2 linked regions of the Nothobranchius furzeri genome follow. The protein of the gene in region 2 purifies or fractionates together with the protein of the main gene of each other region. This does not show direct contact. Links are inferred from orthologs where the notes say so. Each region holds a gene or a part of one and is shown on either strand. Other genes may lie near its edges.

Region 1 (4,357 bases), on a different chromosome or scaffold from region 2:
GCAGACACGTGTCGTCAATAATTTGGCATTTCAGTGCATCTTAGTTAAAATTCAAATATTCTGCCTAAAACTGGCAGTGTTGTGCCGTTGTCAGGTAAAAACTCTGCACTGTATTTTAATTTAAATCTGCCACCGCTATTGGTTAAGAGGTATGCTATGATGTAAACTGGTACATTATGATGTCACAATGCTGTCGTGAGCCTGTCTTTGTGTGTATTTGTTAGCAGCTCCGCCCTCTCGGTCTGCCAGGCAACAGAATTTGTTGCATTTTTCAAACATGAAGAGGGAGTGAAGTAAGTTTCTTGTACGAGTTGACTTGCTCTTTAAGAAATAGTTCCGAACATTCAGCACGTGAACGTGGCATGTCTGATCACACCGATTGTGACTTAAGCTGATAAAATGACAACCCAAAACAAAAACATTTGTGGCTCTGAAGTCAGTCTTACCTTGTGCTAAGATTTTACGTAGGAAACAGAACACTTTTTTTGCTAATCCATCCCCCTGTCCCAGGTCTTATCAACCCTGATTTTTCTTGTGATGATGAGCACACTATTGCTGCACATTTGGCTATGACAAACCTGACTGAGTCACAACAGACGGTACCAGTTGTTGCTGTGCTGCAGAGACTGAAGGAGCTCTGGCTAATGTTTCAGTTCAATGGGGAAATTACAGTTTGCCCTCGGGAGAGAAGGCGAGGAAGAGGAGGTGGGGAGGGGTCAGCGATGGTTCCCCATGATCAAAACAAGAGGAAGCATTCACATTGGCATTGCCGTCTTGTCCTACTTTACATAGTCAGAGGAAGAGAAATGGACTTGATTAGGTCCAATGAACATCAGAACCACATCTTCTTGTCTTCTAAGCCTTTACATGAACAATCCAACATGTGTGGAAAGGGTAAACAAGCTCTCCCATCTCATCTGTCCTCTGGCAAACACACTCAGGAGAGACAAGGGGAAAAAAGGAGGAGGAGGAAGACGGACAGACTGAGGCACTTAGCTGATAAAGAAAAAACACTTCCGTCCATCTCTGACTGAAGGCTCTGGGAACCAGTGATCCTGGCCGTGGGGAGCGGCTGCTTCAGCGTGATTAATTTTACAGGACATGATGGCCATTTCATGTCAGAGATGTCACGTCATTTACAAATTCTTAAAACTCACCCTGTTCTACGTGTACGCCCCATTTCTGACTTACATTTATTCAAATGAGAGCATTTTATTTATAATACTCCCTCTGATCAAAACATGTCTAAAGTCTCCACTCACTTTTACACTGAAGGCATTAGGAAAGTAAAATAACCTTTTGGTCTTCTTGAAGTCGATATTCACCTGGAAGCCTCCATGCAAAAAAGTTCTGCGACATAACTCATGAGTCGGTGTTCAGGGAACACCTTTTCAACTAGTGAGACATGACAAGCAGTCGGAATTACCTGAAAACAGGCAGGAAAACATTCCTGAAATGTTCCTAGTATCAACACCAAACAAGATCAGGAAAGGTGGGAGTTCACTGAAGGCTTTAGTTCCAGATTAGCCAACCCTTGATTTTAGGAAGCTGTCTGTACATTTAATGTCTGCTGACTAAAACAGATGAACGCATGAATAAATAATGGAGACAATAACATAGCTGCAGCCAATTGAGCCAAATATTTTGAATGACCCAAAAACAGAACATCATGTTTATCACCCATTTGCCCCCATTTATGGGATAAAAATATTTAATTTTGCTTTTACAGCCCAGTTAGATGTTGCAGCTTCCTTTATGTTTGGTGGATCAGCAAGTCCACCAGTAGCTCAGATACTAGGGCTTTAGGATTAAAGTTCCTCCTTAATAAGAAACCTGGATCTCTTTCCTCCCAGAAATTAGCTGGAACAGCCCCCCCCCCCCCCCCCCCCCAAAAAAAAACTATCTGCTAATAAACTATTAGCCACATAATTAAAATTCTATTTCCACGGGATTAAACACCAGTTGTCAGCAAAGCTGCTTTCAATGAAACGCGGGGTGGGGTGGCTGCTGCCTACGGGAGTAGCAACTGTCAAAACGGAATCTTTGCTTGGGGAGAAAATAAAAATAAAGACATAACCTAATTAAAAACCAGCCAGAGTTAGCAGGGCGATCCGTTTCAGGTGGTTTCTGGATTTGTGAATGGGAACGTGGATTGACTTATTTTTAAGAGGGCTCAGTGACAGACAGCGGTAGCTCCAGTGCATGTGGCCTGATGAATCAAAACAGGTGCTGTTACAGCTCCATTTTGGATTTCGATGGATTGTTGGCTTCTTTTTCAGAGCAAACTCGTCTCATCGGATTTTCTCTGAGCATCTGGCGTCGTGACGAAGCCACGATGGCGATTTTTACAAACCTTTTGTTTTTTATGGTCTGTAGTAAGTCCTAAGGGGCAAGCCCCGGCTCAGACTGAATCATTGCACTGGCCGTGGTCTCTGAATGGCCTGTGTAACAATGAGCGTGTGTGTGTGTGTGTATGTGTGTGTAGGGGACCACAGCATATATACATGTGTGAAAACAGACTAACACCTAATTGTTAGCTCGCGGTTGGCCCCAAAACTGTAAACAATCTCCTCGCCAGGAGAGAAAAAGCCGCTACATGCTGTAATAAACTAAACCTACCTTTGACGCGTCTTGTGATTCAGCCCCCCAAAAAAATAAAATAAAAAAATCAGAGAAGCGCAGCGAGGAGCCCGGTCAGATTCGTATGGCTGTTCTCATCAGAAGAATATGGAAGCCGACGGGCAGTTGCTGTGGAAACCTCAGTCCAGCCGCAAATCCCATTTAGCGAATATCAGAAGAATCACCGGAGGAAGGGAGAGAGGTCATGACGAGGACTGATTCTCCTCAAGGAGGGAGCGCAGCTGCCGCGGTGGTGGCGGTGAGCTACGGCGGCGGTGGTCCGGGCGAAGCACCGGCAGACGGTCCAGCTGGAAAGGAGGCGACGGCGCAGTAAAAATCATGCGAACGAGCTGGAGCGGTGTTATCCGGGGAAGACCAGCCTCGTATGGGGGAGGAAGCCGCCGGAGAGAGCGCATCGCTTACGAAACATGAGGGCGAACCAGGGGCGAACACGAAAAGACTAGATTTACGTTCAAAGAGCGTCGGGAGAATTTACGACAACAACTGCGCAACTCGGCTCTGTGAAGGGAATCACTTTGGGCATGACACGAACAGATTCTGAACACCGCTGCCGCGTTTAACCCCTTTAGATCTGTTCAATACATACACAACTTTGTTACATAACAAATCCCCGGCAATGACTTAATTGAGATGATTTGCTTAAAGTACAGGCAACGTAAAGTGGTTGCTTAGCAACACTTCCATTACAGCAGAACGTGACTGTCGCATTAAAGTCAAACCCTCCGGGGTTGTTGACGTTTGGAAAACATTTGCCCCAGTTTTGAGTTTTATTGTTCCACAACGTTGTAATTTAAAATAATCTGGTAACTGAGTAAATGTAAAGGTTTGCACTTGTGAACAATCAGTGCATAGTTTATCAATTTATTTTTCAAATTACTGTCGCAATCATCTATTTTAATAAGTTCCCTTTTAATGTTTTTGTAATAGAAATAAAAGTATTTTTTATAAAATGACGTTTGGCTTAATGAAATTTTTAGCTATGAAAAAATTCTCTCTAGATATGCGATTTCAAGAGAAAGAAAGTTACAATGACACAAATAAACCCAAATTTACATAATAAATCAAAAGCATCGAGATCAAATATGGACAAGTTACCTATTCTTTATATTTAAATACATTGCAAAACTCCAAATCTCCCTATGATATTTGTGTCTGTAGCTGAACACCAGTCACACTTAACTGACTCACAGACATGAGTAAAACAATCATAAAGACAGCTGAGGTGAATGACTTTATTGGTCAGTTGTAATCCACATGCATTTCCAACAATATCTTCAATATTTATTAATAAAATGAAGGGAAACGAAAACTCTTCACTGTCAATGAACATCGTGTTTTTTTGCAGTCTGTGTGAATATGAAAGTAGGATCATTGAGAAATGTGTTCCATGTAGTGTTGTAATAATAACTAAAATGTATCAGATGACAAAAACAAACAAACTCAGATGCACAAAGCTCTATCGTTTCTTTTTGCTCTCTTTCTTTGGTTTCTGTCGAATCTGAGGTGCTGGTCCTTTGGGTTTCTTCACTGGTTCTGTCGTTTTCCCATCAGTGGACTCTGTCTCCTCCTGTGGGCCGAACACCAGAAACATTAAAAACTAAACGGCTAAACGCATGGAATGAATATATGTTCCTTTTTTCCAAGCTTAAATGCAGCTTTACCAAACAAACAGAAGAAGGAAATTCCCATGTGTACACCAAACAAAAGAAACCAACAT
Region 2 (4,354 bases):
AGATTTAATATTTTAACATATCATTAAACTTTTTGCCACAAAAAAACAAAAACAAGACAGTATTCTCCAGGGTTTATCTTTCTAGCAGGATTTCTTAACATCTGAGAAGTCATTCTAATGAAAAACAAACATGTCTCACCCTGGACACATCTTTTCTCCTTTCTTCTCATGCAGCAAAGCGCAGTCGTAACAGAAAACATGTTTGCATGGGATCTGAGGAGAGGGAGAGTCTCAGTCCAGAAAATGATTCAAAACCAACCAAAGGGAGCAAGCAAGAACAAAGTACATACCATCCGTCCATACAGCTGAATAGGGAGGCCACATTTGTCACAGAAATGAATTGGTACTTCATCCCGTTCACCAATTAAATGTAACTGTAGGGAAAGCAAATGGGTGGAATTATGGGTATCTGTCACTCAGACATACTCAAATCCAGTCACAAAGCTTTTATAGTCAAAGCAAAACAACAGTGTACACTAACCCAAGGTCAATGGACAGCTTTATTATATATATATATATATATATATATATATATATATATATATATATATATATATATATATAAAACAGAAAGTCACTATAATAAGATGATGTCAGCAAACCCACACTGACGTACCTTATAGTCCCAAAATAGGGGTTGTGGAAATCTCCGCTGGCTTGCAAACACATCGCCAGCTTTGGTGCCACAATCAAACCTTTCCTCTTGCTTAAAGTTGAATTTATCTACAAAATATGAGAAAATAAGTATTATTGTAAAACTGAAAAGAGAAAGTCAATAAAACCCTGATTAATAAAAGCAGATTTTGTTGTTTAGAACTCAATTAGTCAACTGATAGAGCTGGGGCAAAATGTTTCAGATTGAAATTTTCAAATTGCAGTATTGTGGGATTGTGTAAGTGTGCAGTACTCGATGTTTAAGGAATGTGCTATGTGTATTATGTACAATGCATAATCAAAGGTCATCTGTTAAGAGTAGTATGTAATGTGGAGATTAGTATGGTTCTGTGTAGTTTTTCCTTTTTTCAGTTATACTAACCGAAGTGCAACTTTTTTGACCTAATGACAAATTTCCCAATTGAGACAATAAAGTATATTCTAATGAATAATGGTTAATTCTATAAGTTAATATACAGCAAAATCTGTCTCACCCTCAGAAGAAGGGTTTTGGTCAGGTTCAACAAAACAATGTTTATGATTACTAACTGAGGTGTATAAATCAGTTTATTTTAAAAGCATCTGTCTAAATAGTTATTTTTAAGGCTCTGCATTGGAGCAAATGACTGATTAGTGGATTCTGCTGGGAGCACAGTCCAGCCAGAATTGTGCAGTTCCTGCAGCACAGAATCAACATGAACCATAAAAAGATTCAACCTCCAAATTAAAATTCTACAGAAAATGTTGTGACTATAACCCCGATCAGTTTACTTTTTAAAAGTTTAAAGAGCAAGTCACCCCCTACCAGAGTATTACTCCACTCCCACTTCTGATTTGAAAAATGCAACAAATGTTGTTGCCTAGCAGACTGAGAGGGCGGAGCTGCTAACAAATACACACACACACACACACACACACACACACACACACACACACACACACACACACACACACACGCTCACAACGACATTGTGACATCATATGGTACCAGCTAACGTTGTAGGATACCTCTTAGCCAATAGCGATGGCAGATTTAAATTCAAATGCAGTGCAGAGTTTTTACCTGACAACGGCACAACACTGACAGTTTTAGTCAGAAAATTAAAATTTTAACTAAAATGCACTAAAGTGCCAAACTATTGACTACACATGTCTGCAGCACAATTTATATAGTTTATCACACAAAAAGGTTGATTTGGGGGTGACTTGCTTTTTAATGTGCTCGGTAGCGTACCATCTTCCCCAGGTTCACTTTTGCAGGGCCTGGTGCCAGGCCTCTGCATCCGCTGCTGGGGCTTATTCCTCAAGGGCTGCTTGGAAATGAGCTTGATGGGGATTCGTCTGCGAACATCCAGTCCACCCAAACTTCCCGAACCATCGCTCCCTTGAAGATCACCGTCTGTACACACCGAATGCACAACCCAAAAAATAAAAACAAAAAACTGATAGCATCACACCATTAAGCACAATTATATTACATCTGCGTTCCAAAAGTTATGTAAATCTTTATTTGAAATGTACCCGACTGATGAGTTAAATAAGCAAACGTTTCTGTTCTTGTTCAAACTACTTTTTGGCGTGTTAATGTTTGGCATTTCTGCCTGCTGATGTGTCGGAACACTTTCCCTCATGTAATCAAAGTATAAATCTAACGGTTTGAAGAATAATGCTTATTATCTGTGACGTAAGTTTATCAAGAAAGTGTTTTTTATGGTAAAGAAAGGAGAAAATTCTCAAAACGAAGGCACATAAAAGGCGACAGATTGAAACGTTGACATATTTAAGAAATATTCCGAAAGAACACCAGGCTATTTTTATCCAACCGAAATTCAGTTTACCCTGATCTTTACTTGTGAGAATACTAAACACAAAGAAGGTCTCGGACATCAATAAATAATCTGAGGACGAGCAACAAAAACGAAGTTACAAACCGTTAGCCAAAGAATTAGCTAAGCGCTAAAACAGGGTAAGGTAGGCTGTACAACGCTATCGCTGGATTTACACCTAAAATCAAACTAATCACATTCGGCACAGGAACCGAACACACCTCCAGTTAACGTTACAACTAACTATTCCAACTGACTTAGAACTTAAGGGTTAAATGGTGAACTGACGTCCTTTAGCACAAATCCACAGCTAACCTAAACCGTAACGGAGCATTTCAGAGGCACCAAGCTCCAACAGCAAAGCCGGATTCCTGGAAGGTTGTTCGTAATAATTTAAAGAACTACTAGAGCAGCAACTCTGGCGGCAAAACGAAAAAATAAGCCACAAAAACAAACTTTGACAACAGAGGGCCTACTTAGCGTTTAGCTCACCACTTTGGTCCATGATCCAACCGGATCCAACGAGTGAGCGCAATGCATTGTGGGTGGCCGGGGGGGGGGGGGGGGTCCCTTGAATTCTGTAAAGATGATATTTATAAACATACAATATTAAGTAATTCGTTCATTAAAATAAAACCACTTTTCTGATCTTTGTAGTATAAACTGAGCAGTTAACTTCGCATGCATAAATAAAAAAAAACTAACACTCTGTAAAAGTGTCAAAATTGTTGCACTTCTAAATGAAGTAAATGCATTTTAAACTTTTCAGAACAGCATTTAAGCTAGTAGTCTAATATTTTGGTATTGGCATTTTTAATTTAATCAGATTATATGCATCTTCATTCATATCACCTTTAATTTCAAGTTAAACTGGTGTTTTTAAAATCTCTTATTTCTGACATATATCGCATAACGTCTCGATAATTTTGACTTCATGTGTTTGTTGCGTTACTGCATAATGAGTTTGTCTCATAATTTAGATCTTGTTTTAATTTGAGCGTCGTTTTGTCGCATACATTTGCACAATTCCCACAAGCGCTGTTAATGTACCATTTTTAAAAGTAAGAGACAATTAAACGAGTCAGAAATTACATAATTTACAATTAAGATGCTTGAACCCCATGTGAGTGAGCTCTGATGTTTTGCGAAGCAGTGAAGCTGATGCTCGTCCCCGTGTGCCGCGCGCTCTCATCGTACAATGTCGCCATTTTGATTCGAAATTTATGACTGAGTTTTTCTTGCTTTGCATGTTAAACTTAGCCCCGCGTTTGAATTACTTAATGCGTGAGTACAAACCATGCCCTGTCTATCAGAAAGGACACGTATCGCTTTTTATTTTTAGAGGAAATTAACGTATGGACCTTGCGTATTTAACAGTTTTGCAGCCACATCTGACTAACGTTAGCGAAGTTGAGCTAGCTTACGTTAGCCCGTGCTTCTTCAAAACAAATCACTCACAGGCTAACGGATGTTAGCTAAGCTACCACGGCAAGCTACGTTAGCTACATCGACCTAATAGCTGGCTCTTGACTATAAAACCCACAAATATCCAACAGAAAAGGAAGCAACAGCGGCGGACTTTCCATCAAAGGTTAGTTTTTGTCTTAAAATAATCAGTCTTTTTAAGCAACTTGCACATTTTAACTCTACTGTTCCAACGACGAAGTTATACCTAAGTTAGTGACCTGTTCAAGTTTGCTTTTGGCTCTACACTAGTCAACTGTCGTCAGCTAATTAGCTCTAATGCTAATAAGAAGAAGGGAGGAACTAGTTTACATTTGCTAAATTATTACTGAGTTTACAGTTGAACATCTGTGGTCGAGTTCTCCCAAGAAGTGAATGTTAGCCAAATGGGTTTGTTTGCACAATTGTTT

The links.
Region 1: the proteins of E3 ubiquitin-protein ligase Hakai (region 2) and proto-oncogene tyrosine-protein kinase Src purify together in Homo sapiens (affinity purification with western blotting; 3 studies listed by BioGRID and IntAct, with this or other methods). This does not show direct contact. The link is inferred for Nothobranchius furzeri from reciprocal best matches to the Homo sapiens genes CBLL1 and SRC.

The regions. Positions count from the first base shown.
Region 1 is NC_091743.1:58,638,582-58,642,938, reverse strand, and holds the start of proto-oncogene tyrosine-protein kinase Src, read right to left. Parts: upstream 2,833-4,357; 5' UTR 2,620-2,832; intron 1-2,619. Other genes in the region: protein MANBAL, read right to left, coding at 4,097-4,207. UniProt on the Homo sapiens protein: Non-receptor protein tyrosine kinase which is activated following engagement of many different classes of cellular receptors including immune response receptors, integrins and other adhesion receptors, receptor protein tyrosine kinases, G protein-coupled receptors as well as cytokine receptors.
Region 2 is NC_091741.1:57,567,194-57,571,547, forward strand, and holds the start of E3 ubiquitin-protein ligase Hakai, read right to left. Parts: upstream 2,934-4,354; 5' UTR 2,815-2,933; coding exon 2,796-2,814; intron 2,757-2,795; exon of another isoform or gene 2,586-2,756; intron 2,054-2,585; coding exon 1,865-2,053; intron 724-1,864; coding exon 617-723; intron 375-616; coding exon 291-374; intron 214-290; coding exon 140-213; intron 1-139. UniProt on the Homo sapiens protein: E3 ubiquitin-protein ligase that mediates ubiquitination of several tyrosine-phosphorylated Src substrates, including CDH1, CTTN and DOK1. Targets CDH1 for endocytosis and degradation.